Linked DNA regions of Mus musculus. The protein of the gene in region 4 purifies or fractionates together with the protein of the main gene of each other region. This does not show direct contact. Links are inferred from orthologs where the notes say so. Each region holds a gene or a part of one and is shown on either strand. Other genes may lie near its edges. The genes, in order: Med23, Med13l, Med12l, Cdk8, Med24, Med9 and Med16.

Region 1 (4,531 bases), on a different chromosome or scaffold from region 4:
CATCATCTGATTTAGAATTGCCAATTGTATTTGTATCTTTCTCTCTCACTATATAAACATCTTGAAAGGCCACAGCATAAATCACTAAATCCTTAGGAAATGACTTTAGCAATTCCATGTGCCTGACAGGGGTGCAGCAGGCATGGCACTTGCTGAGTTTGATTCCCAGGGTCCGTATAGTAGAGACTCTCTCTTGTAAGTTGTCCTCTGACCTGTACACAAGTACTGTCACACACATACACACACACACAAACACACATACACACACACAAAGTTAAAATAAAAAGACCAACAAATATTTTAAAATTAAAAATGCATAAAATGTGCTAAATATTGAAAGATAAAAAGTAAATTTTACCAAGATAAAATTTCCCAGTGCTTGATACACAAGGATAAGAAAGTATTACTATTTTATTATATGCCTTCAGGAAATTATATTGGTTGTTGGTATTGATAATGTAAACTAGATAACCCTTATAAGAAATAATTAGGTAATTTCCTTAAAATTATAAATTGCTGGGGTGATTATGAATGCGTATATCTCAGTACTGAGGACATAGAGACAGGAGGGTCATGAGTTCACGGCCAATCTGGACTACAGATCAAATCCCAGGCAAATCTGCGTTACACTGAGATTATATCATGTGTGTTATACACCTCCCCTCCATAACTAAGACAAAAAAAAAAGCTTTTGATTTATACCAATATTATGCCCAATATTCAATCCTATGCCTGATCAATAGTACTACTTACTGTAACACTACTTAAAAGTAGTGGGCCGGCCGGGCAGTGGTGGCACACGCCTTTAATCCCAGCACTTGGGAGGCAGAGACAGGCAGATTTCTGACTTTAAGGCCAGCCTGGTCTATAAAGTGAGTTCCAGGACAGCCAGGGCTATACAGAGAAAGCCTGTCTCGAAAAAAAAAAAAAAAAGTAGTGGGCCGGCGGTGGTGACGCACACCTTTTATTCCAGCTCTTGAGAGGCAGAGGCAGGCGGATTTCTGAGTTTGAGGCCAGCCTGTTCAACAAAGTTCCAGGACAGCCAGGGCTATATAGAGAAACCCTGTCTTGAACACACACACACACACACACACACACACTCACACCCAAAGTAAGTAAAAAGTGAAGAGAAACATCTAGCTAAGCATGGTGGTCTATCCTATGACACCAGGAAGCAGAGGAAGGCAGACTAAAAGTTCAAGTCTAACCTGGGCTACATAACAAAACTCTATCTGGAAAAAAAGAAAGAAAAATTTGAAAGCAAGAAGGTAGTTAATAAATATAGGTGGTAAGGACACATAACAATATGCTACACCGCTATAAGAAGTAAGAAAGAAACTGTAACTCAAAAAATTCCTTGAAATACCTTTAGAACTTATTATTAATGGTGAGAAGTACAGAGCTAACTGCTGACCAATACCTATGGTATATGGTGATTCTATAAAAATAATTCTGAGCCGGGCGGTGGTGGCGCACGCCTTTAATCCCAGCACTTGGGAGGCAGAGGCAGGTGGATTTCTGAGTTCGAGGCCAGCGTGGTCTCGAACTCAAAAAGCAGAAAATAATAATAGTAATAATAATTGTGAGCCTGAGGATGTAGTTCAGAGACGACTGTGTGCCTAGCATGTGGACACATGTTCACATGTTCGGAGACCAGTGTGTGAGGCCCTGTGTTCACCCCCCACACCCCAGCACTGTTTAAAGAGAAAAGAACGAAGATGGCTTTATAATCCTAGAACTCAGGACACAGAGAGACAGTCTTATAGCTAAACAGTTCTGGGAACACAAACTAGGATGCTGGCTTCAGACAGGAAGGGCAGGTGGCTGAGCTAGATCAGGAAGACGGCCAGCGTGTGGAGCTTGGTCACGCTTGCCTTATATATTTCAGGTTCACGTCAAAGCATGACCTGTTGAAAATAGAAAGTTTAAAACATGAACATATTGCCTTTAGGATCCATAACTGGGTGGCAAATTTTATACTAGCTCACAGGCACAGAAAGCCCAGCGGCTCACTTCTCTGTCTACAGTGCATCATGAGAAATACTACTCTAGTGGGGACTCTATCACAGTGTCTTTATGAGGACATATTTATAAATACTGGGCCATTTTTTGAATAGTGACATTTTTCTTTTACGAGAAAAGTTTAGCATATCTGTTTCCATTCAAAGCCAATTTATACAAAGAGGATAAAAACTACCTTACATAATATAACATAGAAGGAAATTTTTAAAACATTTCCCACTGCAATCTTATTACCTTGAACTTTTAACACAGGTTCTCCAGTAAGTACATTTACATAAAATGACAGCAGTCTTATTTTTCCCTTTCCTAAACGATCTTAAGAAAAAGATCAAAGAAGATGTAAAAAGTAAAAAGGAAGGCGTCAAACGTCATTAAGTGGATGTTCAACATGAAATGTCTCACCTGAGAAAGTCCACTCCAAAACTGCCGGAAGGCCGCCAAGCAGCTAATTAGTTTTGTTTTTTCATCCTCGGGGGTATCCATAAACATTCTGAAAAAACAAAAATCACATTATCTGCTGCTAGTTTTAAACAGGTACACATCCTGCAAGGTAGATTTTTTTTAACTCCTCAAAACCAACTTAAGTGGAATCTAACAAAGATAAATCTACAAACAACAATTAAAAAAACACACACACACACACAAAGATCTGCCTGCCACATACTCACCCTGGGAAGGCCTCTTCTATAATTTCTGTTTTCTGCAAACAAACAAAAACTAGTAAACGATCTGACTACTAAAAGGGGGCGGGGTGGGAGATGTCCCCGAGAGAAATATTCCCGGGCAATACAGATAGAGCACGACACTTTTATGGGGACCGCGGCGGGAACTAACAGCACTTTCTTAGATCTGGCAGCAGTCCGGGGATGGGGGGACCGCCACCCCGGTTCAGACGCCTATGTCAACATAGGGGCGGGAAAGGAGCTGGCCCAGGCCCGCAGCCTGGAGCCGCACGCAGCCTGCACTTCCCGGAGCCATGGCTCTGGCTTACGGACAGTGGCACTCACCACCACCTCCTCGAAAATGCTCTGCAGTTGCGTCTCCATCGGTACCATCGAGCCCCGGGCTCCCGGGGAACCCGGCGACAGACGGGTGAGAGCCAGGGTCGGGAAAGAATGGAGCGGAGGGGCGGAGCCACCAGCAGGAAGCCGCCGCTCTCTCTTGCTCTGTTACTTCCTTCGGTGCCAGGCGAATGAGCCCGCCCGGTGCTTACCCGTTACCAGCCCCTCTGAAATCTGTATCTCAGCCTGTTGGTTCCGCTCGTAGAGGTGACCCCGTAAGCTGACAGCGCTGCTTGATCCCGGGCAAGGCCACCCTCTCCTGGCTGGAGCCGGAACTGCGACCTGTTTGGAGTTTCATTTGCAGATCCGAATCACAAGGGCTGTGGCCAGAACCAAGTGGGTGACTGTCAAGAGCTGACCTCGTGAAGCAGTTGATACCACGTTATTCTTGCCCAATAGGACCCATGTCTTCACTATGGTACCCTCAGTTGCTAGCACAGTGATGGGCGTGTCGTCATCGTTTATTGAATGTTGAAAAAAAAAAAAAGAATAAACCCTTTATTGTTAATTCGCAAATAAGTGGCGGTACTAAGTACATCATTTTAAAACAATTTTCCCATCATCCTGGTAAATTTCTGAAAACTTTTTTTTTTATTGTCTTAGTATGAAGAAATTTTTGTCTATCCAAAGGCTATTCGTCAATGTTTTCTTCCAGAAACTTTGTTCTAGCTTTGGTATTTAAGTCCATATTTTTTTAATTGGTTTTCATGACTGGAGATAAGTTCTCACAGGACTTTTCCCTCTTTGGGGAGATGTAAATAAATGTTTATAAACCCTAAATAGAGGACATTGACAGATTAAAGAAAGGATCTTGCCGGGCGGTGATGGTGCACGCCTTTAATCCCAGCACTTGGGAGGCAGAGGCAGGTGGATTTCTGAGTTCAAGGCCAGCCTGGTCTACAAAGTGAGTTCCAGGACAGCCAAGGCTACACAGAGTAACCCTGCCTCAAAAAAAAAAAAATCTCATTCAAATCCAGCTTGGTAAAACAATGAGCTTATTATAGTTTCTTATAGAAGCACGTGACTCGGGTACCCTCATTACTAGGAACTCCTACCTCAAGCATAGATGACTTACAAAAAGGCATACCAGTGTAGTACCCTCCCAATAAAATATTTAAATTTAACACAATGTTGGAGAATTAGAGGGGCTTCTGGGGAATCGTGTAAGGACCATCTTGAGTTTCCATGGCGTCTTCATTTTATTTTATAGTTTTGAGACAGGGTATTTTGTATCCCAAGTTGACCATGAACTTACTATGTAGCAGAGTGACCTTGAATATTTGATCCTTCTATTTCTCATGGCGAGAGATGGGACGCCCCTGAGACTATCTGCCAGGAAGAAGTGTTGGGTTAGGTTTCAGATTGGACCTGGGGTTAGGGTTAGGTGTGCTAGGGTTTGGGTTAGGATTGAACTCAGGGCTTCCTGCTTGCTAGACAAACAGTTTACC
Region 2 (4,707 bases), about 28 Mb from region 4:
CAGGAGGAAGAGAGAAACAGCACAAGGGCCCATATCACAGCCATCCAATGGCCTTTCACAGGTTAGGGTGGGGGTGGAGACAGAAAAGCAAGAGTAGGAAACAGGACTCCAGGCAGTATCAGAAAACAAACTCAGTCAAAGCCTAGGAACAAGAATCGTAAGAGGCCTGATTGCTCAGTCAGCCTTGCTAAGCCCTGGCGATGGCCTCAGGATCTCAGGAAGTAGTGGGTCGCGTTCCCTCGGGGCTCGGCTCCAGCTTACACCTCCATCCAAGCTAACAGGAGCATGTGGGTGGGTAGTGTTCCAGAAGTGACTATTCTGCACTCAGAAACAAAACTGCAGGCCAAACTTTTCAAAAATACAAAATGCTAGGTACCTAGAGTTCTGACAAAAAAAAAAAAAAAAAAGATTTTGAAAGGATGCCTCTCCTTTGAAATCAACTATTCTATACAATGTTCTTTACGCAATGTATTCTCAATAAGTAAGATAGGTTGCTGCTGTGTGTATGCTCTTCAGAAAAAAATTCTCAATTAAGAATCCGAATAAAGGACTGTTGGCAGTTTATTCTTGGTTTTGGTTTTCCGTGGGTCTCTTTTATTTGGCTTGGTTTTCTAAGAAAGTTTAGGGCTGGAGAGATGGCTCAGGGGTTAAGAGTACTGACTGATCCTCCAGAGAATCTGGGTTCAATTCCCAGCACCTTCGTGGCAGCTCACAATGGTCTCTAATTCCAATCCCAAAGAACCCAGCACCCTCACACAAGCAGGCAAAACAGCGATGCATATAAAATAAAGATAAATTTCTTAAACAACTAGACAGCATTTACCTACCTCGAGGTATCAGGAAATACGTTACATTTTAAAACTAATCTAAGCCATTTCTGCATTTCAATGGAGTTACCCAAAAAAGTTAATTGTACTTTATATTCAAGTCAACTTTTTGGTTTAAGCGGAGAAATACCCAGAATGCAGTCAAAATCAAAGTCCAGAAATTAAAGAAAGAATCCGGACCATCTCATCTCTACCCCATAGATCCCTGAAGCTGAGAGTGGAGCTGTGCAGTCAGCAGGCATGCATTTGCCTGCACAACACACTGTGTATACATTAGCCACATGCACACAGGCAGCACTGCTCTCAGCCTGATGCACAGCAAGTGGGAGCTCTCCCCAGCTAACACCAGCTGACTTGGTTATTTTAATTACCTATAAAAGTGTCATTGCGGTCACCCAGTCACCAAATTGGTTGGGGGGGGGGGTAAATACCGCCTAGTCAATACATTTGCTGATCTATGAAGGTCCCTGAACCTAATAATAAATGACAGACAAGGGAAGGGGGGGGTGAAAAAAGAGACAGAAGTAGTTTTATCCTCACATCAAAAGATCAACGGTAAATTACCACAGGGGTAAAAGGAAGGACCCCCAACTTCTAACTGAACCTCGAAACAGCCTCAGGATAAAATTCGGGGTGATCAGGAATCAGCCTGCTTACAAGAGTGGGAGCAGGGGGACTGTGTCACTCCTGTGTCTTTGTAGGCCAAAATCATGCTTGATTTCTTCATCAGCATGAAAACAGAATGACACTTCCAAAGTTGGCAACAATTCCTCTTTCTCCACTAGTCTCCAAGGGGAGAAAAAGCATCTATGCCACCCATAATTAAATGTAACTAATTACAATTTGAACACTAAATTATTTATCCAGTGTAAACAAGGACTAAAAGGAAATAAAGCTTCTATCTGCAGCAGGGGTTCCAGAAAATAATTTGCAATAAATGCATGCTCTCCAAAAGTCAGCACCCTCCCCCCCAGCACCCTCCCCACCAAAATTGGGCACACAACTAAAATAAGTTGAGTTTTTAAGGCTAAATTAAATAGGCCGTTCAACCAATTTTCCAATTATATTCTACGCTTGAAACATAATTGCCTTACATCTGTTTACAAATCTTTGCTCAATATTTAAACAAATTCGTACTCTCCCGGGCACATAGCTACACACACACAGTAACTCAGGCACAAAGCGCGTATTTAAAGACCATGCACTCCCATTATCAGCGTAAGCGCCGGGTTTAACAACGCGAATGTTTTCAGAGCTAGGTAATACGACCCAATAAAAAGCAAAGATGGCATTTACCACCAAATGTCACTGCCACCGCCAGGAAAGAGTTGCTGGAGCTCTATACATTTTTAATTTCGACGAATCGAGCCGCCGTCGCCCGGTGCCAGGCTTCCAGAAGAACAATTGACACCCTAAATGGTTCGAGATTAAGGCAGGCGATGCACTTCCAAAGCAAAAGTTGTCAATTATCAGAGGCGAGAGCGGGAGAGAGGAGAGGCGAAGGCAGATAAAAGCGATGTTATCAAACCGCCCAGCTTGTTGCTCGTGTGTGTGTGTGTGTGTGTGTGTGTGTGTTCCTTGTTAAAGCAGAGAAAACAGTTTTTAAAGGCAGCGGAGGAGAGCGAGGAGCAGCAGCTTCCTCCACCTTCCGTGGGCTCCGAGCAATGGCTCTCCCGCTCTCCGGCGTAGTAAACCCCGAGAGGCGGGCGGCTGTCCGTGTTTACAACGGCGCGAGCGAGCTCCGGCTGCCAGAGTCCTTTTCCCTGACACCATCGCCTTCCATCAACTGTTTTCGGGCGAAATCGCAGGTGTCATTGTGGAAATATTAAAAGGAAAAAAAAGGGAAAAAAACGGAGAAACAGAGGAAGAGAGAAAGAAAAAATCAGAAGGCAGACGCCGGCGAGTGGGAGAGCAGCCGATCCGATCGGGAGAGAGAGAGAGAGAGAGGACGAGCCTGCAGCTCACCCGCGCCGGCGGCTGCACAAGGCAGAAAAGCCTTCCACATTTCGGGGAAGGAGGAGAAAAAAGAAAAAAAAAGAAAATAAGGGGGGAAGGGGAGGGGAGGGGGTGTGATTGCCACGGAGGTGGGCGCTCCGAGCGCGCCCCGGCGTCCGCAGCGCCCCGACTTCCCCACGCACGTCCACGCCGGGCGCCGCGCTCGCCGACGCCGCCAGGGCTCCGGGAGGAGAAAGTTGCGCGGCGGGGAGGTCGCGCCCCCCAACCCGGGCTCCCCCCCGCCCCGCCACTCACCAGCGAGAAGAGGTTGGAGTGACAATCCTCCAGGCTCGCCCCGTTCGCTACCCAGTTCGCCGCGGCGGTCATGGTCCTCCGCGAGCCCGGCCGCCAGAGCGGGGCATGTCGGAGCGGGCCGGGCCGGGCGGCGGCGGCGGCGGCTCCCGGGCACCAGGGGCGCGAGGCCCGCGCGGGAGGCCCGAGGGCGGCGGTGGCGACGACGGCGACGACGGCGGCGGCGGGGGGCGCGGGCCGGCAACGCCGCCCGCCTCTGTCGCGCAGGGCCGCCGCCTCCGCCTCCGCCTCGCCGCCTCGTCGGCCGCCTTGTTTATCTCCAAGCCGGCGGGCGACTCGCCCTCGGCCGCGCCGGCGCGGGAGGCACGCGAGCCCCGCAGCCGCCCCGAGCCGCCGCCGCCGCCGCCGCCGCTGCGCGAGCCCGCGAAGGGGGGGGTGCGGACGAAGCCAGCGGGCGACCCCGGCAGCCGAGCGCCGTCCCCTCCTTCCTCTTCCTCCCCACCCCCCCCCTCCTCCCCAGTCGGCCGCGCTTCTCCTCCCTCCCCGGGCTCGCTCGCTCTGACAGCAATGGCGGCCGCCGACCGCGGCTCGGCCCGCCATTGGCTGCGGCGCGTCACGTGACGGGCGCCGGCCGCGCGGGGGGCGGGGGAGGGGCCGCGGCGGCGGCGGCGGCGGCGGCGGTGGTGGCTCGCGGGAGGCGCTGCTGAGCCGAGCGAGCGCGGCCCTCTCGGAGCGGGGTGACGGAGCCAGGGAGGGAAGAGAAAGAGGTGCGGGCGGCCGTGGGACGCCGGGGCTGCGTGGACGCCCCGCCCTGGGCGCGGGCGCGCGTCGGGCGCGGGCCGAAGAGGGCCGCGGCTTCCCCGGAGCGGCCTCCGAGCCCCCCTGGGGGAGCATCTCGGGTCCCCGAGGAGCGGCGTGGGCCGGCCCGGCCTGGCCGAGCGAGCCGAGGAGTGTCTCCTCCTCGAAACCTCGCGCGCGACCGCCCGCCGGCCTGCCTGCCGCAGCGCACCGGGCGGAGGAGTAGGACTCAAAGAGACACAAAGGCAGCGAGCGAGGTGCTTGCCCGGGGTCGCGGGATTCGAACCCAGGCATCGGGAAGCCAGGGCTCGGGACTCACTGCCTCCCGAGCGCTGAGCTCCTAAAGCATCCCGGCTGCTGGAGCCCTTGGCGCCCACTCTGTGCGTGCACGCAGGCATTCCTTACATAGATGATCCCAGCGCTCTTAGGTGCCACATTCACACTGGGCTATGTGGAGGGGAGCAGGCCCTTCCTCCAGCTCCAAGCGGTCAATAATAACCAGCATCCCTTCTTCAGAGAGTAATGGGACTGGGAGAAGTGCTGATGCCGGAGACTGCCTTCCAGGACTTTTCGTCGTGGAAATAGAGAAAGGGAGAAAGTTGACTTGGAAAGAGGTAGAATTAGGCAGGCGTATCTCTATGAGTTCCAGGCCAGCCTGGTCTACACACTGTCTCCAAGAAACAAAGGAAGAGTAAAACGCTGGAAAGAGCGGTGGAAGCAAAATAAAGCGGGCACAAATCTGACATATGAATGGAGTTTTGAGACTACCACAAACCTTAAACCCTGGAATGAAGGTGGCCCGAACACATAGGTCATTTCACAGAGTCCTCAGAAT
Region 3 (4,727 bases), on a different chromosome or scaffold from region 4:
CTATGACCAACTCTAATTGAAGTTCCTCACGTAAATTCTATCCAACCACCTTGCAGGAAAGTAGCAGTCTCATTCAACTCTAAAAGGGGAAAAGATGGTTTACAGGGAGAAAACAGGGTGTGTGGACAAAACAGCCAAGATTCAGGCAAACAGAATGGCTCCAGGCCCCACCTGCTAGGTCACAGCTATATGAGAACAGGATGAAATGTTGAGTTTGGAGGAGAAAAGGCAGGCAGGTGACCAGGTAGACAAGAGTTCCAGGAAGGAGAAAAGTCAGCCTAAAGCCAGAAAAGAAGCTCATCAAGTTGGTGAAACTCAGGAGCAGCATCAGATTAGTTAGAAATCCAAACTATCCCAGAGGCACACCAGGCAAGACACACTGGTGAGTACATACTATGGGTAAGGAGATAAGCTGTAGAGGAAGAAGACTCGAGAAAGACCCCTGCTTTTCTGATTCCCCATTTTTAAAGGGGAGGGCAGTCTATGTGCAGATGACAAAGTACTCTACCACCACATTTAATAAAGTCTAAAGGGAGACCAGGGCACTGCAAAGCTCGTGAATGAATTCGATCAACTGATGAGGCAGGTTAACGGATCTTTTCATTCTGTCTCCACAGAGTCCTCCCGAAGGATTCCACTCCGTAGCCTGGGACCCTATTTCCAGAACGCTCTTACCACTTCTTATCAATAAAAACTTCATCGGTAGCAATCAGGCAACTTTGGTTCAGTGAAGAATAGGGATTTTCTTACCCAAACATGAGGAAAATTATAAAGTTTTACCTTGTTTTTCCTGACGAGCACAACTAAACTAGTTAACAAGAGAGGCGTGATCCAAATTTGCCAACCACTAAGATGCTCAACCATAATTCAAACTCACCACGGTCAAACCGGAAGCCTGGACTTCCTCCATTCAATCAATACTTTATCTCAATGTGGTGGTACAGGTCTAGGATCTCAGGACTTTAGAAATGGAAGCAAGATCTTGAGTTCAACATCAGCTTGGGTAGATCAGTGTGACCGTTCTCAAACAAATCACCACAGCTCTCTGATGGATAATGGTATAGATTTGGCCTCCTTCAAATATGTGTAATTATATATCTTGTGTTTGCATATAATAACATATATGTGTGGGGGGGTGATGTCTTATACAATCATATTCATATTGCAGTAAACTGCAAAAAATCAAGACTGTCCAGAAAACACAATACAGTTTATCTACAGTTAATAAAAGGATCAAATTACTGGTTGTACAAGGACAGGGTGGAAATTTGAGGGAGTAGTATAATACATAAATAACTGAAGCTTAGGAATCTGCTCGCCACCAACCAAAAAAACAGCCGAGCACCTGTTCCATATTGTACCCAAATTTGACTACAGCCACATATAACTCTCTCCTCAAGAGAGATAGAATATCGGTCGCCTGGGGGGAAGTGAATCCGAGGAGCAGCAGCAGCAGCACAAGTCACCGGGACACAGTGCAGGGCTGAAGGAGGGCTGCGCTGATAACCCAGTGTGTGCTTATTCACCACACACTTCAGATAAAGCAAGCGCTTCTGAGCTGCAATCACCCTATCTCCTCAAATCAAAGTAGGAAAAAAGTACCCTCTACAGGCACTTCTTCCAGCTTTAGATTTCTAGAAAGTGACCCAATGTCCAAAATTATTCTTTCCAGGATCCAAGTCCTGAAGTGACTGTCATATGTAAAAATAAATGCTAAATAAACAAGCACACATGCTAATCCAAGCCACCAACCCGAAGCTACGTCACTCTCCAGAAAGACCTAGTGAGGCACTAATTATAAGATGAGAAAAGTTAAGAAACGAATGTCCCTATCCCTGCCAAAACTTTTAAAATCACCTTTCTTTACACTTGGTCTTTAGAGTCTCTCTTCTTTCCAGACCTTAGGAGCTGCATAAGCACATGCTGCCCACCTGTAAACTTCCCAGCCATCTTCAATCGACTTCCCTGACCCTCAAACTCAATGGGAGAAGGCCAAAAGGAATTGCTCGTGATGATTTCTCAGACACATTATTAGCCAGTCTGGGCTGAGCCTCTACTAAAGAGACGGATACATTTATCAAAATAGAAGCCTGAAAGAACTCTGACTTGCAAAGTCCTCTTGTGAAATCAGGGGACACGCAAACTTTTATAGACTTTCCAGGCTCACGGGAAGACTAGAATACATGGCAGTTTCATGCTTAACTATAGAAAAGAGAAGATGGGTGGGCTGTAGCTGGCAAAGTCTCAAAGGACAGCTGGGGAGCAGGGGAACCAAAAAAGAGAAGATAGGCAAGTCTCTGGGCAAATTGTATAGCCAAGGGCGATCATTATTATGGCTGGAGAGTTGTTACATAATTACTTTTTAACTCCTGACACATACCTACATAGCTTACAATAACCACTGAAGCTACTGTATGTGCAACAGCCAAGGTTTCTCCATTTAATTTCATTCAAAGAAAATAAGTAATCTGGAAGCTATTCCTTTCTAAGATAACTTGTCTGCTTTTACACATACAAAACAGCCTCCGGGAAAGCCAATTTGTCTCTCTAGAAACAAAATTCGGTGTTTCTCTTCAATATTGTTTTCTTAAATTTTTTTTAAAGGCGAGAGATACAGAGGTACATTCACCGAGCCAAATATATGATCACCTCGCTAAAAAACGACTTCCATTCCAAAGTGGAGGATGTGATAAGGGTCCCTCCCCCATCCGTACCCATACCGCTGGCGCAAAACGCAAGACCACAGTGTCCGATGTACTGCATTCCAGCATTTGTCAAAAAGTTTACGAGGATTTATCGAAGCGACGGAGTAAAAAACAATAAAACAAGCAAAAACGGAGGAAAGCGAGCAAGAAGATGCTAGCGAGGTAGAAGCGGTAAAGCGCCCAGCGGCGCAGTGCAAGGCCCGACAACCGGGAAGCGACCCAGCCCCCCGCAGAGCGATCGCCCAGCGGAGCGCGGGGGTTGGCAGGCTCCGGGTCTCAGTAGCTCAGGGTCCCTGATACCCTAACCCGGGCCCCGCCTCCGATCCCCTCCCCAGCCCTTCCCCCGCAGCGCCGGGGACGCCCGCCGGGCCAGCTTGGCCCCGGGTCAGCGCTGCGGAGCGCCGCACAACCGCGGAGGCCGCCGGCGCCCTTACCTCCTTCTGCTTAGGGTCCTGCGGGTAGACGTCGGGCGGCCCGAGCCGCGGGCGCTTCAGCGGTCTCTGCTCATAGCTGAGAAGCCCGAAGGCGGCCATGATCTCTCATGTTAACCGGCGAAATGAATGAGAGTTGGAGCTGGAGCTGGAGCAGCCGCCTCTGAGCACCAGGGAGCAGCACTTTGCAGACAGACTCCCTCTTCCCTCCACTCTGGCTCGCCGTGGCGCTGCAGGCAGGAGAAAAAGCAGGTTGGAGACGGCCGCTGCCCGCGCGCAGACGCGCTCAGGGGGGCCGCCTTCGTGGGCACCCCGCTGCGCCGAGCCCCGGGACGCCTGCTCCGCGGGCGGCGGCGGCGGCGCCCGGGCTGGAGGTCGGCCAGGGTCCGCCGCGGCCACGGCCTCCCGCCACCCCCACTCGGTCCCCAGGGGGAGGAGCAGATGATGGGAACGTGTGACTTTCTTCACCAATGAACCCAAACCCACCCAGAGGGGCCCAGGCTGGGGTGGGGGAGGGGCATAAAGGGGGAAAAAACTTTTCTTGGCGCCTAGGCGGGAGGCTCGGTGCCCGCCGAGAGCTAGGCGTCCTCGGGCACGCGAGGTGCTGCGCAGCGGCCCGCGCCCACTTCCTGGCTCGCCATGCCCGGCGCTCGCAGCTTTGCACTCGGAGGACCCGCCGCCCGGGCACGGAACCGCGGACGCGGAGGGAGAGAGGCCGCGAGAGGCGAGGATGCGGACGCCGAGCGAGGCCGGTGCCTCCGGGTTCAGCCAGTGCACGAGCTGCGCGGGTCCCCTCGGCGGCGCCGGGGCGCTTTGCTGGCTGCCGGCTGCAGCGGCCGCGGCGGCTGGAGGGGGCCGCGCTCGCTGTGGCGCGGGGCCGACTTAACCCTTTGCTGGCCCTCCCGGGGCTGGGGAGGGGGTGAGCAGAGGTGGCCGCGAGCACCGACGGACACATCGGGAGCACGGGCGACTGGGCTCCCCGGGCCACCCCTAGACGTCGCGCGCCCTGATCCCCACCCCCAACAGTTTACCTGTTGGTCCCTAGCTAGCGGCTAGGCAGGGGCGGGCAGCCGGGACGCCCTGGCGGCCGCAGCCTCCATCGCTCCGTTAGGGTTGGGGAATTGGATTTGACGTTGCGAGGTGTCTGGCTCGCCAGACTGCGGACGCCGCGAAGTTTGCGGCTGCCTGGGGGCGTCGCTCGCTGTCGCCAGCGTTCTCGCCCCCACGGCCCGGGAGCGCGAGCTCCCGAGTTGGCGGACGGCGGCGCGGCGGCCGCACTGAGCATGCCCAGCTTGGCGGCCGGACCGCGGAGGAGTTGGCTGCGAGCGCCTCGAGCGCTCCCATCTGCCTCTCCGGGTTTTCGCAGCCGCAGAGCGCGCATTCCACGGGCCCTGCGCCCCAGCTGGCTGCAGGGTTAACCCGGCTATGGAACCAGCCCCAGGAGGGACCCCGGGCCTCGAGCTGCGCCCTCCGCCTCGACCCCTCCTGGGGTCGCCATCCCGGCAGCCTAGGCGAAACCTCACCTGCTCGCATCACAGGGATGGGAACCGCGGGGAGGGGGCGATCCTTTCGGGGGATCTGGTCAATCCAC
Region 4 (3,641 bases):
AAGACACAGGCATGGGATGCTATAGGTATGGAAGTCTACAGACATGGAGACTAGAAAGGGATCAGCTCTTGGGACAGACTTGGAGTAGAAAGTCCAGTAACTTGAGACCTGTGGCATTTACAGCACATCTGCTGGGGTTGGGAGATAGTGCAGCAGGTAAAGTCCCTTCACCAGGAGGATTCAGACTCAAGCACCCGTGTAAGTGCTTGGAGGCTTGGTGGCCCATCTGTACCCCTTTGGTCCAGTCATTTCAAAGGCAAAGACAGGATTCTAGTCAAGTGAGCTCTAGGGTCAATTGAGAGGCCTTGCTTCTGTGTCAAGTGGAGAGGAATCAACATCACCTCCGGTTTCCACACGCATTCGTGCAAAGTGAAGCAAAACACAGCTTCAGTGTTTCTCATCTATAAAATGAAGTTGGTAAGTCAGCTTAAACATGTGTGCCTTGAACTTAGCCAATGGCTGCTTTTGTTCCTGAGCACTGTAGAAGAGGAGTCAAGGCCACGGGCTCTTAGATCCCACCTACTTCTGTTCAGCCTTGAGTAAGAGAGAGACCTGGATGTTCTCCATGTCTTAAGTGTGGGGAGGAAGGTAGAACAGAAATCGCTTGCAGACGGCATCAGCAGCAGCAGAGTAGAAACAGTGACTAGAATGTGAAGCTGTGGGAAGACTGAGTGGCTGTGTGTTCTGAACATGGTGGCCTGCCTGGGGAAGCCCTGCACAGAAAGTGCCCTTACATGGTAGAATGCAGCTCATGAAGGATGTATGAGTTTGTGTATGTTTTTATATGTGTGGGCACACAGGCATGTGGATGTAAGAATGTGGTGTGTGTGTGTGTGTGTGTGTGTGTGTGTGTGTGTGTGTGTGTGTGTGTGTTCAGGCCCTAAGTTGATATCAGGTGTCTTTCCCTTGTTTACTGTGGCAGTGTCTTACACTGAACCCAGAGCTTGCAGATGTTAGCTAGTCTAGCCGACCAGCTTCCCCTACAGATCTTGTCTCTTCCTCCCAAGTGCTGGGATTACAGAGAGCCACCATGCCTACCAGCTTTTTTTGTTTTGTTTTGTTTTGTTTTGTTTTGTTTTGTTAAATACGTGTTTGTTTGTTTGTTTGTTTGTTTAATATATGTGAGTGCACAGTTGCTGTCTTCAGACACACCAGAAGAGGGCACCAGATCCTATTACAGATGGTTGTGAGCCACCATGTGGTTGTTGGGAATTGAACTCGGGACCTCTAGAAGAGTCAGTGTTCTTAACCGCTGAGCCATCTCTGCAGTCCGCCTACGAGCTTTTATATACTCTGGATATACACACTGAGTGCCTCATGCTCATGTCGCAAGATATGATCAGAATTGCCCACATGGTGTCCCAATTCTTACCTTCCTGGAGAGAAGCTGATGTGGGAAGAGTTGGGAGCTTTGTTTGTTTTTGCTCTGTTTTGCTTTGTATGGGCCAGCTGAGGGGTTTGCTGCTGCTTAGCCAGTGTTTTTATATTTTAATTCTAAAGCTAGTGCCTTACAGAAACTTATACATCTTTGCTTCTTTGAAACAAGATTCCCTTCCCTATCAGCCTTGATGGCGTGGGGCCAAGCTACCTCGAGAAGTCCCTGAATCACGCTTTTCCCTCGTCTTCTTTCCAGCGTTCCAATCCACATGCTGCTTATCCCAACCCTGGACCAAGCACATCACAGCCCCAGAGCAGCATGGGATACTCAGCTACCTCCCAGCAGCCTCCACAGTACTCACATCAGACACATCGGTACTGAGCTGTGCTGGAGTCTGTCAGTGCACTGTTGCTCATGCTGCAGGACTGGCTGCGGCACTCGCGGGAACCTGGTGTGGGCCATGCGAATGTACTGTACAACCACATCTTCACAATGTCCAGTAGCCGAGTTCCACCAGTTGTCACAGATTGGGGTGGTAGCTTCCAGGTTGTACCTAAGTTTGGAGTTAGACTTGAAATGAAAGTGCTAGCACAGTTGTGTTGTGGGTTTGCTACTTCCATAGTTTACTTGACATGGTTCAGACTGACCAAGCATAGTTTTCAGTGACAGTCTGTAGCAGTTGAAGCTGTGAAATGTGCTAGGGCGAGCATTTGTCCTCGTGTGTGGTGACTTTGAGTGTAACAGCGTGATCTGACCAATAGTACACACAGACGCAAGGTTTAACTGGTACTTGAAACACAGATTATGTTAACAAAATAACCAAGATTTAAAGATTATTTTGGTACACCTTTCTTTTTAGTGTCTTATCAGTGGGTTGATTCATCTTCTACATAAATCAGTGTTTTATGACCAAGAATATTGCTTGGATTGTTTTGAAAGTACAAAAGAACCACATAGTTTCTACTGACAGGTTTCAGAGCTCCCAAAGATTAATTTCCAACTTAGAGGTTTGTTTTTATTTTCAACCTATGACGACTTGACTGGTCTTAAAGCTGCTATTTGATAGTAATTAAATATGTTGTCATTGATAGAAGCCTGTTGGTTCAGCAAACTGAAATGAGTGTTGCAGACAGGGTTTTCTTTTCCTCGTTGGTGTTGCTGATTTGTGAGCATGCTTTCTGAATACAAAAGCATGAGTGGCGACCTCCGTGAGGCACGGTGACCTCCTCGAGGCACGGTGACCTCTGCGAGGCACGGCGTCAGTCCGCACTCTTCTGTCCTGATTTGAAGCTGCCTAGTGTAGTGCTATTACAATTTTGTTCAGTTAACTTTCTTTTTAAAAGGTTGTTCGCACATTTTTAGGGTGCCCTTACTTCAGCAAAGGAGAGGGAGTAGGAGAGCCTTAGAACTTTTGAGGGGAAAATAAAAAGCTATAACATACAACGTACTGTATCAAACTATTTTACATGAATGACACAAGTATTCTGAATAAAAAAAAATTGAACATTGTTAAAAACAAGGTGTTATGTAATAAATTTATTTTTCATAAATCAATGTATGGTGTCAACTATATTTTTCAAATTCACCAAGGGTCTTTTGTTGTATTTTAAAACATGCCTCTGTATAACTCTTCCCAGTGACTTATTGGTGACAACTGATGGCTTAGGCTGAGGTGTGCACTCTGGTCAGCTGTCTAGGTCTGTAGCACAGGGGACAGGTAGCTTTATAGTCGGCTAGTTCTGGTAATGGTAGTTCCACTCCGTTACCCTTGGTTCCTCCTTTTTAGAGCTAACAGATATTTTCTCAAAATCTGAAGCCATCCCTTTAAAAACAATCTAGCGCAGTCCACGAGCTGAGGAATCAGTACTGGTAGGCCTGACCAGAAGAGAAAGGGGGGTTGCTGGGAGTGGCATTTCCAAGTCTTCTCACCCCTGTTCACACCCATACTGCATGCCTTTGATCACACAGGTCCCTCCTTAACCCTCTGAATTGAGTGGTTGTGTTTGGTTTCTGTCAACCTTAGCTCTCACGGTGTTTCTTATGACCCTTACACGTTGTCTTCTGGTGTTTTTCTCCTATACTGAGTGGCTTAGAAGCCCAGTGGCTGTGAGGGCCACCTACACATTCCCCCTTCGCCAGCTAGTTCCAGAGATTGACTCAGTAGGACTTGGGTGGATATGGAAATGTGGCTCCTTTCCAACGAACTCCCCCAGTCCTGAGACGTGAGCCTGAGAAATATGTTAGGAAAGACCATTCTGTGGGG
Region 5 (4,078 bases), on a different chromosome or scaffold from region 4:
TCAGCCTTAAAAGGAAGGAAATCCGGTCACATGCCAGAGTATGAATGAATTTTGAGGAAATTATGCTGAGTAAAGTCCGTCAGTCATGAAAAAGCAGGTATTACGTAATTCTAGTTATACGAAGTATCTAGCGTGGCCGCTCAGAAGGACAGAGAGTCGCGTGGTAGCTGCCAGGAACTGAGAAGGGGAGGTGGACAGTTGCTTATTGGCTAAAAGCTTAGATACACAAGATGAAAAACGCCTGGAAGTCTGTTTCACAATTCCAACACGTTTCATATCCTGAACGATATACATAAACACGGTTGAAATGGTAAATTTCCTATTGTGTTTCTTGCCATATTTAAAAACCAACGGCCAAACAACTTATCAGTTGGGTGAATAAACAGACACCACCAAGCCCCGTGTAGCGGAAGTCCCTGAAGAGCCAGTACTTGAAATGGTCACCAGGACAGCTGGGGGTGGGGGAGGGAAGCCATAAAAACTGCAGATGCCTCAGAGTTCCTCGACAGTGACACAGTCACACAATCCCTTTGCTCTCTGGCCTCAGCTAGTTTTCTGGAACTTGCAGCCTTGGAGGACACAGGTCAAGCTGTCTGGGGTCTGTATTTCCCACGCATGGCAAGTACAGGGATTAAAACCCTCTCGATACAGAGACACACACCAAACATCTGCTGAGCCAGCTGAGTGAATGTGTGACTAAGAATGCGAGGGAGTGGTAGGGGAAGGCGAAGGAGGGAGCGAGAGTCCAACTACCCTGAATGTGCACTGCCTCAGCAGCTAAGCACGGTGGGCTGGTCGGAGCCTGGATGGAGGAGGAAGTGGTTGCTGAGCGGCTCCCTGGGAAGCGGAGGCCGAGAGCATGGGGTGGGATGTTTGTTCCTGGTGGTGCCGACTCCCGACCGCACACCTGCCGAGGCCGGGGCACTGACCTCTCATTGTAGAACTGCAGGGTGTTCTCGCTGTACAGTGGCCCTGCCAACTGGCGGATCATCTGCAGTGACTTCTCACGCTCATCCAGCCCCAGCATCCGGACGTGGGCCACGAGCCAAGCCACAGCACACACCGCCAGACTGCATACCTTTCCCTTGATATTATCGGTGATTTTCTGTGGGGAGGAGAAGGGAATGACTTGGGGACTCTCTTCCTCTCCCTGGCCATGACTCCCACGGCCTCTGGGGGCAGCTGGGGGTCACAGGTGCTATCCCAAGGTACATTTCACACCTTTGCAACATAAACTTGATTTTCTCAAAGACACCTGGACAGGATGAAGTGGCTAAGAGGAGGATACTATAGAAGACTAACACCAGAACATGATCTCCAGCTTGAGGATTTGTTTGTATGCAAAATAACAAGCTCTCAGTGACCAGCCCCGTGTCTCAGGCAGAGAGACTCAAGGAACGGTAGAGCTACCTGGATGGACTCAAATGCCAGAACCCCATTCTCCCAAGCGTTGAGGATTTCCAAAATGGCTGCTGAAATGCTGAGGCAGGCCTCGTGCCACTTCATCTGTCTACAGAGAAGATTAGGAGAACATCATGGCAAGGGAGCATGAGATGGGATTAGGGGGGAGGGCCTTGGAATGCCCCTCCCTACCACCCGAGGTCAGGACCTAAACCACTGACACTAGCTTCATCTCTGAAGAGTTGTTGAGCAGGGCCACCAAGGACTCGACTTTGGTGGAGTCAGGGCGGAAGCAGGGATGGTCAGGGTTCAAAATCTTGCCCTCCTCGGGCATGCAGGTCTGCATCCAAGTCTCAAAGAAGGGGACTTCTTCTCCTGAGCTCGACTCCGAGAGGATCACCTGGGTAAGACAGAGGGGCACCAGCTGAGAGAAGAGGGCGTGGCACCTGCCAGAGCTAGCCAGGGACTGGGCTCTATTGCCATTCCCTTTCCATAGTCAACTCTAAATCTGTCCAGGGGAATCAGACAGGGAGCGGTGCTGCCACCTAGTGGTCAGCATGAATTTGCCACGAGAGGACCTGTTGACATGGGAAGACAACAGAACAGGCTGGCTTGGGAGATCAGTCTGGGCAAGGGTGAGTAAGGGAGTTACTGGCGTTTCCTTCCTCTTTGCCCCACTCACTTGGGGCCTCTTCCTGTCACCAGCACTCATCACTTACCTCTGAGCCATAGGTCTGGGCCACATGGCATAGCATGAGGAAGGAAATGTCAAAGAGCAAGGCTCGGACCGAGGCTGTTTTCGCTGTGGGAAAGAGAAAGATGCCAAGCTCGGCCCGGGGCAGGAGCCCCAAGCCCTGTATAGATTGGGAGGTGCCAGGGACTGAAGGCCTCATGCACAGTAGCCAAGTGTGGAGGCTACACCCCAGCTCAGGATTTCCTGAAGGAAGGTCAGGGAGCAAGCGGTTCCTTCAAAGCTCTGAGGCTCAGAATCCTTTTCTTGGGTCTTATTAAGAACATCATCCCTTCCTTGGAATCCACAATTTCCAGAACCCAAACCAGTCAAAACTGGTCCAGCTGGGAGAAGGGCAGAGGGTGGTTTTGGCAGAGTCCCTTCCCAGGATTACCCTCATCCCCAGAATGAGCAGACGCAGCCCCTCCCTTCCTTCCCTCCTCAGGGCAGATAGGACCTGCAGATAGACACAGACTTACTGCTCTCTCCACTGCCGTGGGTCGTGAACTCATTCAGACTGTAGGAAGGACAGAGACAGGTAGCATCAACCAGAGCGAGGGCTGAGCAGTGTCACAGGAGAAGGGGGTAGGGCCTGGGAGGGGGCTACACATTCAGAGGGTGGGCCCTAGAACCTCAACTATAAGCTTAAATATAAAATGAGTATTATAATTACAGAAACAAATCACTAGTATTAAAAGGACATGGTGCCTCACACTCTACCCCAACACTGAAGAGGCTAACACACGGAGCATTAGAAGCCAGCTTGGACTACACAGTGAGACCCAAAGATTTGTAAGGAACCATGTTCTACACACAAAATTGCAGGTAGCCCCCCAAAAGTTACAGAATTTAAGAACCCATTATTAGCTGCGTGGTCATACACGCCTTTAGTCCCAAGACTCAGGAGGCAGAGTGAGGCAGATCTGTGCGTTTGATGCCAGCCTGGTCTACAAAGTAAATTCCAGGACAGTCAGGGTTGTTACACAGTGAAAAAACAAAAATAAAACAAAAAACGAAGACCATAAACTAGATAGAGCAGGCTACAAGAGCTCCCATGTCAAAAGTAAATAAATAACTGGGCCAAAGAACTTTTCCATGCCTATTATTCAATGCTTTATTTTTAAAAATTCATTTATCTTTTATTTTTATTTATTTTTTTTTAGATTTTATTTATTTATTTATTATATGTAAGTACACTGTAGCTGTCTTCAGATGCACCAGAAGAGGGCATCAGATCTCATTACGGGTGGTTGTGAGCCACCATGTGGTTGCTGGGATTTGAACTTCGGACCTTCGGAAGAGCAGTCGGGTGCTCTTACCCACTGAGCCATCTCACCAGCCCCCTATCTTTTATTTTTATGTGCATTAAGCATGTCTGTGTTAGCTATGCATCTCATGTGTGTACAAGATCCTGCAGAGGCCAGAAGAGGGCACTGGAGCCCCTGAGACTGGAGTTACAGACAAGTGTGAGCTGCCAAGTAGGCCCTTTGGAGAGCAGCAGGGCCCTCAAATGCTGAGCCATCTCTCCAGACCTCAGCCTCTCCCTGCCACAGGCCTCATTATCTTTGCAAGCGGCTTTATTCCATCTTCAGTGAGAGAGAGAAGACCTCTCAGTCGAGTGACACGTCTGTCACAGTTTCTAGTTAGGATGTTCTGCCCTGGTCTGTACACCTCAAAGGGAAACCCATATCCAGGCATCTCCACCCTCACACGACCTCCCATCGCACAGCAGGGCATAGCTCTACTCACTTGATGAATTTCCGGGCGAAGGATTTAAGCTTCCCAGTGGCGGCGGCAGCAGCCAGCAGCAAATCCAGGCTCTTCCCAGACAGCATATGTCCCAGGACCCCTAGCAGTCCCTCCGGGGACTTGGAGTGATCTGCATCCATTGTCTGGGGACAGGCGGGAGTCCAGTGAAGACACCCTCAGATACAGCCTAAACACATT
Region 6 (4,811 bases), on a different chromosome or scaffold from region 4:
CCACCTGGGAAAACTATTTACAAAGATGATAAAGCAAGCTTCAGCAGAGAGTTGACCTCAGACCCTCTGACTTCACATCGTGTTCCTGTCACTGAGGCTGGCCCAACCCAACTGCTCTTCCGGGTCAGGAGGATCCTTCCTGAGGTATAGGTGAATGTGTATACATCTGTGTTCTGATTTCCCATGTTTTTAATGTTTGCAAGTTACTCTGAATAAACCAGTACTCCAGCACTGCCCTGAGATGGTTTTTATTTTCCTCACTTCCATCTCATAATGTATTTGCCAACAGCTAACACAGAGGGGACAGTCTGCCTTACCCTGCATACGGGAGGTTCACGTTGTCTGAAGCCAAGAGAGGAGTGAACGTGAGAACCAAGGTTTTGCAGTCATTTGAAAAGCGGCAGATGAGCGCTGTGCTATCCCACTTTTATGTCAACTTAACACAGAGTCAGCAGAGAGGAAGGAAACTCAGTTGGAAAAATGCTCCCACAGAAGCATGCTGTAGGCGAGCCTGAAGAGCATCCTAACTAGTGATTACAGTGAGGAGGCCCCACCCACTGTGGGGAGTCACCCTGGGCTGGTGGTCTTACTAGAGTAAGAAAGCACGCTGAAGTTGGGCAGTGGTGGCTCATGACATTAATCCCAGTACGTAGGGGTGTAGACGCAAGCAGATTTCTGAATTTGAGGCCAACCTGGCTTAAAAATAGTTCCAGAACAGCCAGGAATACAAGGAGAAACAAACACAATAAAAAAGGAAGAGAGAGCGCACTGAGCAAGAAAGCACTCCTCCATGGCCTCTACATCAGCCTCTGCCTGCAGGTTGCTGCCGACTTCCTCCAGTGAGGAAAAGTGATACAGAAGTGTAAGTCAGATAAACCCTTTCCTCCACAGTTTGCTTTTGGTCAGTGTTTCAGCACAGCAGTAGCAGTCCTAAGACAAACACCAAACCACCAGAGCAAGAAACCCAGACTGCCTCAGCTCCAGCAAGAGGGCTTGCCAATGTTCCTAAATGTGACCGGAACTGTAATCTTGTCTTAATTTACTTTTAGTATCTAATGGTTTAGAAGAAATTCAGAGGTTTGCACCTAGTGTCCTGTGGCTATACAGGTATGTGCTAAATAACCTGATTAATGCCAGATCATATATTCAGTAACTGTCTAATGCTTATAATGTAACCAAAACCTTCCTTTGCCTAATGACAAAGTAGTTGTGGTAATGTTGCAGCAGAATGCGCCACTCACAAGAGTGTGAAAAAAAAAAAAGTATACTGCCTGATGGATAAAAAGTATTACCTATACAATTACAGGTAGTTCTTAATGCTTGATAATGATAATAAATAATGATGTCACTAGTTTATGGATGTATTATACTGTAGCGCTTCGCCTTGTTGCCTAGAGACAGGGTCTCATATTAAATAGGAAGTTAACAGTGTCAGCCAGGCAGCCTGGCCAGAGCTCTTGAGATCTGTCTGTAGCGCTGGGACGCTGGGGCTCCAGGCACGAGCAGCCATGACTGGCTTTTTATGTGGACGCTGAGGATTGGAACTCAGATCCTTGTGCCGTTTGTACCGCGAGTGCTCTTACCCACCAACCTGTCCAACTCCCAGTGTTGCTAAGAATCCTGACTGCACAAAGAGGCACCAGGCAGTAACTGTTCCGCGTCACCTAAGTTTATCAAAGCACACTTGAGAATGCTTGCACCAAAAAGTGTACCTCTTGGAAATGACCCAAGCGTATATGGAGTGAGCAAAAACATAGGCCATCATGGAGACTGGAGACTTTGGGCCTAAAAGACCATACATCCTTGTATATTCTATTAGAATTATTAGAATAAAGTTAATAGTGGGACACAATCATTCAGAGCAACTTCTGTGTCTTCGTTTCAAATGTTTCCTAGCATCACTTCTCCCCTCTCCACTTGTTTGTTTGGAGACAGGGTTTCTCTGGATAGCCCTGGCTGTCCTGGAACTCACTCTGTAAACCAGGCTGGCCTCGAACTCAGAAATCCGCCTGCCTCTGCCTCCCAAGTGCTGGGATTAAAGGTGTGCGCCATCTCTCCACTTTTAAGAATGTTTGTTTGTTTTTCTTTGCTTGTAACCGTTAAGCCCTGTAAGGGTAAATGGCTGCTCCTTTCTTTACGGTGTACAACCCTAGTACCTAACAGAGCCCACACAGGTAAGATGCCTCGCATTGAAATGGGTACTAAACTGTGTACACGGTGAGAATCTCGAGTCTGAACGTCTGAGGTCCACCAAAATTCGAACACTTTTCGGGGCTCATATAATGCCACAAGTGAGAAATTCCGCTCTGGGCTTCATGCGAACAGTCAAAACGCAGGCGAATTAAAACAACTGTATAAAATTGCCTTCGGGCTATGTGTAAGGACTTAAGACCCATCCCCAAGTCACTGCAGGATCTGGGATGGGACACTGCAGAACCTATCTATGCATTTGATCAGTACGTGGGCTTCACCCGGGAGTAAAGTGTAACTCTTAAGGCGCCTGACAACGTGGGCCCTCTGGGAAAATGGGGCGTGGTCCAGAGCCCACGGGCTTTGGCAGCTCGGAACCAGGGACACTAGAGTCGCAAAAAGTGGTGTCTTAACCTTTCCTAGACCCTTACCATTTGATGACATTGTGAACCAACGGCAAAAAGGAGTAATTCTCCTCCTTCGCGCCAGCGGGGGACTGAGGCCGCGGAGCCGCCGGCGGCGGGAGCGCAGCGACCGGCAGAGGCTGAGGCGGTGGTGGCGGCTTGGACTCCGGCAGCAGCTCGGGCGGTGGCTGTAGCGTATCTTCGGCCTGTCTCCCACCCGCCACCCCAGAGGAAGCCATAGCACCAGGAGTCCAGCAGCTGCCGAGGGGCGCTGGGTGCTTGCGTCACAACTGCGCGCCCGGGGAGGCCGGGCGGGAAAAAACTCTGAGTCTGCGCCCTGGGCGTAGGCGGGCGGGCGTTGCTAGGCGACGGGTGTCGGGAAAGCTAAATTGAGTAGTCAGGATTAGGGAATCTACTCCAGTCATCTTTCTAGTTCACATGACAGAGAGAGGTCAAAACACCAACGAGGACCCCCGGGACTGGCAGGAAGAACGGATGACGCTGGTGAGCACCGTGTGAAACTGAGGCTCTGCGGCAGCGAGCATCCAGATGACAAGGACTTACACGTCTTTGTGTCATGCTAGCCTCCAGGAGGGCCCCAGACTGGCGACAGCAAAACAGGCCATACAAACTAGTTCCACACGGCTGCCAAGGGGAAAACTAATCGTTCTTCAAGCATTTGGTATGCATCTAGCAGGTGCCAGACTACATACGTATATAAGACTAAGATCTTGGACCAAATAGGAGAACTTTACGATAGGCTTGTATTTATTCATTTCAAGCAAATGGGCTCCATTAAAAATTTTCTGGACAAGGGTAGCAGTAATTCTGATTCTGACTAACAAAAATCAGGGATTAGGGAAGCTGTCAACTGGGAGAGGACATCTGTCTTTGATGACAGGAACCATGTCAGTAAAGAGAGGCCAGGAGCCCACATCTCAGAAACAAAAAGAAGCAGGAACGTGGAACTTCACAATGGTGTTTTCAGGTTTTTTAGCTACAGGTCTCAGAATTGTTTTCTTCAGAGCTGCAGATAGTTCTCTAAACAGAGGCACTGTCAGGAAAAGAATAATCTCAGTGTTGCTCAAAAGAAGACAGAAACAAAGTGAAACAAGGTGATTTATTTATTTCTTGAAAATGAGTGCACCAGAACTCAAGATAAGATAGCAGAAACACTCAACAAAATGGCCACTTTCTTCCATCTCAGGCTTAGGTGCATTTCATCCCATTAGTGGGAACACAACTTCTCAATATGACTCAATGGGCTAATCACCCAAAGGGAAAGGTGGGTGGGGGGAGTGGAGTTAGGGAATACAGGCCCCTGTGGAACTAAGTGTCTGATTAGAAGAACATTTCTCACTGCAGGAAACTGTAGGATTTCCTTCTAACCCAGGACCTCTCCACCTTAGGGGAAGGGCCATGATTCCTGAGGAAGAAGGGAGAAGAGAATGGTCTAAGATGGAACCAGGTGTGCCAGAAAAGACTTGAAGACACCTCTGGAGACATCTGGGAGAATGCATGGTAAAACGGCAGTGTTAGCAAACAGTAGCTATCACTACTACTGTGGAATGAAAGTGACGAGAAACCATTAAAACCCTCATTTAATCCACCGAGAAACTCTGGAAGGTATATCTTAGTTTTCCATTTTATAGAAAAAGAAACAAAAGTTTACAGGGCTATAATAGCAGCCCCAGGATCACAAAGCCACAGAGCTTCCTTGACACCAAGTCTATGTCTAAAATCTACAGGTATGTGATGCCAGGCTCCTCCCTGATCTGTAACTTTTGATTCAAAATGTTAATGTGAGCTTTTATTCAGAATTCAAAAAGCATCTAGTAGCCATTGATACTATCCTCATAGCAACCAAACATCATCTTTCCCCCCTTAATGTGTTTTATAACTTAATTACAAGTCCCAAATCTATCTTTGGCAGAATGAGGGCATCTCTTTAAAAAGCTCTTGAGATATAAATAGATATGGCTAAACAAAACAAATTGATAACGTAGGAAGCATGAATAAGTATGGTGCATTGACAGTTTGCCCTAAAAATAGTTAATATAATTAGTGACAAAGAATAGAGCTGACTTCACATCACGGCAAACAGCTTTCAGAAAACTGCTCCCTGTTCTGGCTTCCTTAAAGCTGATTATTGCAAATACGTGTGTGTGTGTGTGTACAGCCATTCTGATCTAAGTCAGAAAAGGAGGGTGCTACTGA
Region 7 (2,944 bases), on a different chromosome or scaffold from region 4:
GTTTTGGTTTTTGCTTTAATCTCGGGTGTGAGATGTGGGGCTACTTTAGACTGTCCACAGCAGCTGACTATGATTTGCCTCGTGATCTAGGAGAGGCGTGGTTTTGCCAGCTGCAGCTAGTTTCTCCAACTGTGTGACATTTGCAATTCTGGGGATTTTTAAGAGGATATATATATGCTAGGGTTGTTGTTGTTGATAGTGGATTGGTGGTTGGTTGCTGTTTGTTAAGCAGTCCTGTGCAAAGAAGTTAGATATCCTGCTGGTGACATCAAACTTGCCCCAAGGACCGCAATGCTCCTCATCAGTGGGAGGCAGTCTGAACGTGATGTCACCCCTTATCCCCATTAGTGTCAGGGGGCTGAAGGGGTAGAAGAAAGAAGAACCCACAAAGTAGCCAAGCAGAGTGGAGCATCCTCCGGGGCACCGGCTCAGGCAGGCCCTCCCCAGAGCTGGGTCATCGTGGCCATTGCCCTGTACTCAGCTCCACAGGGCTCCAGGGAGAAAACACCAGTTACCAAGAGCAAAGAGGCTGCGGCCTGGCCACCCGAGGCTGCAGGGGGCAGGTGTGGTATGGATGCTAGAAAGCAGAACCTCTGGGGACTACAGCAAAGGCCACAAAAACCAGGAGATGAGGCAGCTGGGGAGGGGAAAGTCTGTTGTGACACAAGTGGGGCCAGCAGTCACTCAGTTTCCAAATGTGTGGGTACCTCAGCACGGAGCCTCACCTAGTGGGCAGAGTGGTGGGGACCACGGTGACAGCCAAAGCCTAGTGCATCAGAGAACTTTATTGGGCCAGTCTTCCCCTCCCACCGGCACCCAAAGAAAACTGAGGCAGACGACCCCAAGCAGGACAAGAAAACTGAGGCAGACGACCCCAAGCAGGACAAGAAAACTGAGGCAGACGACCCCAAGCAGGACAAGAAAACTGAGGCAGACGACCCCAAGCAGGACAAGGGGCTTTATGTACTGTGAATCTTTTTTTTTTTTTGTTTTGTTTTTTCGAGACAGGGTTTCTCTGTGTAGCCCTGGCTGTCCTGGAACTCACTTTGTAGACCAGGCTGGCCTCGAACTCAGAAATCCACCTGCCTCTGCCTCCCGAGTGCTGGGATTAAAGGCGTGCGCCACCACGCCCGGCCACTGTGGATCTTTTAAAGGATGAATACACAGCCCAGCTCCTTCACACTGGCTTGGATATGACCATGGGACTTCAGGCCCTAGAGATGCCGCATGTCCCTAGAAGGGGCAGACCCAGGGGCCATTGGTGGGTACTTGTGCCTCAGTGAGCACAGCAATGTCAATGTTCAGAGACTGGTTGTACATACGCAGGCTGGTGGGCTGTGGCTCAGGAACAGCTGAGAGGCACTCGCCGCCACAGCCCACCACACAGGCAATTCTTGATCCACCGCTGTTCCCACTGTGTCACAGCGGTTGTCTTGTTGGGAGACTTCAGCATGGTGACACAGCCACACCTGAGGAAGCAGGGACTGTTAACACTCACCTTACTCTCCCAAGTACTGCACTGCTGAGCAAGGTGGTATGCCCCAAACCCTAGCCTGCCCAAGTCAGGTCTGACACAAGGCCACAGCCCAGGCCCTCCCCAAGCTGCCTACCCCACAGATCCCAGGCTCTGCCGGTGTGGCCCAGGAGGGACGCCCAGAACTCTGGGCCTGGCTGCAGCTCCTCACCTGGTGCAGGCTTTGCACTCCTCGGTGGGGTAGGCGCCCAGGTGTAGCCTCCGGAGGTGGTCGATCTTGGGCTGGCCAGGGGCCCTGGGGATGAGAGGGGAGCGAGGGGGATGTGGGACCTATGTCCACAGTGCCCTGTCAGGCAGGAGGCAGAGGGTAGCTTCTGGTGTGTCACCCTGGGGCTCAACCATAACAAACAGCCAATGGCCTTTTCCTGGTGAGATAGGGCCAGTGTTTCTTCTAGAACCTTCCAAATGTGACTGATGGGACAGTATACACACAGGAGGGGGTAATGGTTTCGCTGTTGGAGGGGCACGGCAGTCCCTTATCAGCAAACGATGGCTTGGGACAGGCAAGGGCTCCATTACAGCTTCAGCAAATCCAAATGGGTGAAGAAAATGAATTCTCCACGCAGTGTTGTGGGCTCAGAGGTGGAGGCTGGTGGGAAGCCAGCCTGGGCTACAGAGTTAGTGCCAGGACTGCCAGAGGTACCCTTGGTCGGAAAACCACAAACCCCATCTCTACGCACACAGCAAAGGCTAGAATGGCAAGTTCTCATCTCACTGCAAGGACCTGACCATTGGAGACACGATGTTCTAGAAGGCGCTGGAGCCTCTGTGGGAGAGAACCCTGAAGCAAAGCTGTGGTGTGGAGGCCTTCAGAGGCGGGGGGTGGGGGAGGGAGAGGGGGTGGATGGGCAGTGGGGAGGGGCAGTGCATACCTGGTGAGGCCGTCCAGCTGCAGGGTGGAGGTGCTGCTGGGCAGAGTGGGCGCTCTGCCGAAGCGCAGGCGCAGGGGCTGTTTGGGCTGCAGGCGACTGACCAGGCCATCACTGGCGGGAAGCCAGTCCAAGTTGGGGACCAGCAGCTGGCTAGGCAGCAGGCAGCATTCATCCACCAAACCCTCATCTGGTTCACTGGCTGCGCCCTCATCACGGCCTACGGGGAGGGGTCGGGAGTCACCGCACTGAAGGATGTGGCACCCGCTACGTCTCCCTAGGGCTCTGCCCTCAGACATCACAACTGTGAATTAGGGACGGGCTCCTGCCAAGTGCTGGGGAAGTGGCGGGAAGCTTAAATTCTGGAGGTGGGCTGATAGGGAAGCTGTGAGAATGTGTATGATAGTGCCTCACAGCAGATCCACAGTTTGGTGAGCAGTCGGAAGAGCAGGGACATGCTGTCCTGGGTGTCCGAGGTGGCTGTGTAGACGGGCAGACAGCTGGGCTTCAGCAGGCCCCAGATTCGGATGACAACCATCAA

The links.
Region 1: the proteins of Cdk8 (region 4) and Med23 purify together in Homo sapiens (affinity purification with mass spectrometry; 10 studies listed by BioGRID and IntAct, counting the BioPlex papers as one, with this or other methods). This does not show direct contact. The link is inferred for Mus musculus from reciprocal best matches to the Homo sapiens genes CDK8 and MED23.
Region 2: the proteins of Cdk8 (region 4) and Med13l purify together in Homo sapiens (affinity purification with mass spectrometry; 6 studies listed by BioGRID and IntAct, counting the BioPlex papers as one, with this or other methods). This does not show direct contact. The link is inferred for Mus musculus from reciprocal best matches to the Homo sapiens genes CDK8 and MED13L.
Region 3: the proteins of Cdk8 (region 4) and Med12l purify together in Homo sapiens (affinity purification with mass spectrometry; 3 studies listed by BioGRID and IntAct, counting the BioPlex papers as one, with this or other methods). This does not show direct contact. The link is inferred for Mus musculus from reciprocal best matches to the Homo sapiens genes CDK8 and MED12L.
Region 5: the proteins of Cdk8 (region 4) and Med24 purify together in Homo sapiens (affinity purification with mass spectrometry; 13 studies listed by BioGRID and IntAct, counting the BioPlex papers as one, with this or other methods). This does not show direct contact. The link is inferred for Mus musculus from reciprocal best matches to the Homo sapiens genes CDK8 and MED24.
Region 6: the proteins of Cdk8 (region 4) and Med9 purify together in Homo sapiens (affinity purification with mass spectrometry; 10 studies listed by BioGRID and IntAct, counting the BioPlex papers as one, with this or other methods). This does not show direct contact. The link is inferred for Mus musculus from reciprocal best matches to the Homo sapiens genes CDK8 and MED9.
Region 7: the proteins of Cdk8 (region 4) and Med16 purify together in Homo sapiens (affinity purification with mass spectrometry; 10 studies listed by BioGRID and IntAct, counting the BioPlex papers as one, with this or other methods). This does not show direct contact. The link is inferred for Mus musculus from reciprocal best matches to the Homo sapiens genes CDK8 and MED16.

Annotation. Positions count from the first base shown.
Region 1 is NC_000076.6:24,868,645-24,873,175, reverse strand, and holds the start of Med23 (mediator of RNA polymerase II transcription subunit 23), read right to left. Parts: upstream 3,191-4,531; 5' UTR 3,078-3,190; coding exon 3,030-3,077; intron 2,723-3,029; coding exon 2,691-2,722; intron 2,513-2,690; coding exon 2,425-2,512; intron 1-2,424. UniProt on the Homo sapiens protein: Required for transcriptional activation subsequent to the assembly of the pre-initiation complex. Component of the Mediator complex, a coactivator involved in the regulated transcription of nearly all RNA polymerase II-dependent genes.
Region 2 is NC_000071.6:118,559,228-118,563,934, reverse strand, and holds the start of Med13l (mediator of RNA polymerase II transcription subunit 13-like), read right to left. Parts: upstream 3,217-4,707; 5' UTR 3,150-3,216; coding exon 3,078-3,149; intron 3,074-3,077; exon of another isoform or gene 2,124-3,073; intron 1-2,123. UniProt on the Homo sapiens protein: Component of the Mediator complex, a coactivator involved in the regulated transcription of nearly all RNA polymerase II-dependent genes.
Region 3 is NC_000069.6:59,005,513-59,010,239, reverse strand, and holds the start of Med12l (mediator of RNA polymerase II transcription subunit 12-like protein), read right to left. Parts: upstream 3,263-4,727; 5' UTR 3,239-3,262; coding exon 3,140-3,238; intron 1-3,139. UniProt on the Homo sapiens protein: May be a component of the Mediator complex, a coactivator involved in the regulated transcription of nearly all RNA polymerase II-dependent genes.
Region 4 is NC_000071.6:146,299,943-146,303,583, forward strand, and holds the end of Cdk8 (cyclin-dependent kinase 8), read left to right. Parts: intron 1-1,633; coding exon 1,634-1,759; 3' UTR 1,760-2,932; downstream 2,933-3,641.
Region 5 is NC_000077.6:98,708,653-98,712,730, forward strand, and holds part of Med24 (mediator of RNA polymerase II transcription subunit 24), read right to left. Parts: intron 4,024-4,078; coding exon 3,881-4,023; intron 2,649-3,880; coding exon 2,611-2,648; intron 2,438-2,610; exon of another isoform or gene 2,334-2,437; intron 2,204-2,333; coding exon 2,121-2,203; intron 1,802-2,120; coding exon 1,623-1,801; intron 1,511-1,622; coding exon 1,411-1,510; intron 1,106-1,410; coding exon 930-1,105; intron 1-929. UniProt on the Homo sapiens protein: Component of the Mediator complex, a coactivator involved in the regulated transcription of nearly all RNA polymerase II-dependent genes.
Region 6 is NC_000077.6:59,946,289-59,951,099, reverse strand, and holds the start of Med9 (mediator of RNA polymerase II transcription subunit 9), read right to left. Parts: upstream 2,887-4,811; 5' UTR 2,834-2,886; coding exon 2,622-2,833; intron 1-2,621.
Region 7 is NC_000076.6:79,893,942-79,896,885, forward strand, and holds the end of Med16 (mediator of RNA polymerase II transcription subunit 16), read right to left. Parts: coding exon 2,818-2,944; coding exon of another isoform or gene 2,813-2,817; intron 2,624-2,812; coding exon 2,407-2,623; intron 1,770-2,406; coding exon 1,686-1,769; intron 1,470-1,685; coding exon 1,343-1,469; 3' UTR 766-1,342; downstream 1-765. UniProt on the Homo sapiens protein: Component of the Mediator complex, a coactivator involved in the regulated transcription of nearly all RNA polymerase II-dependent genes.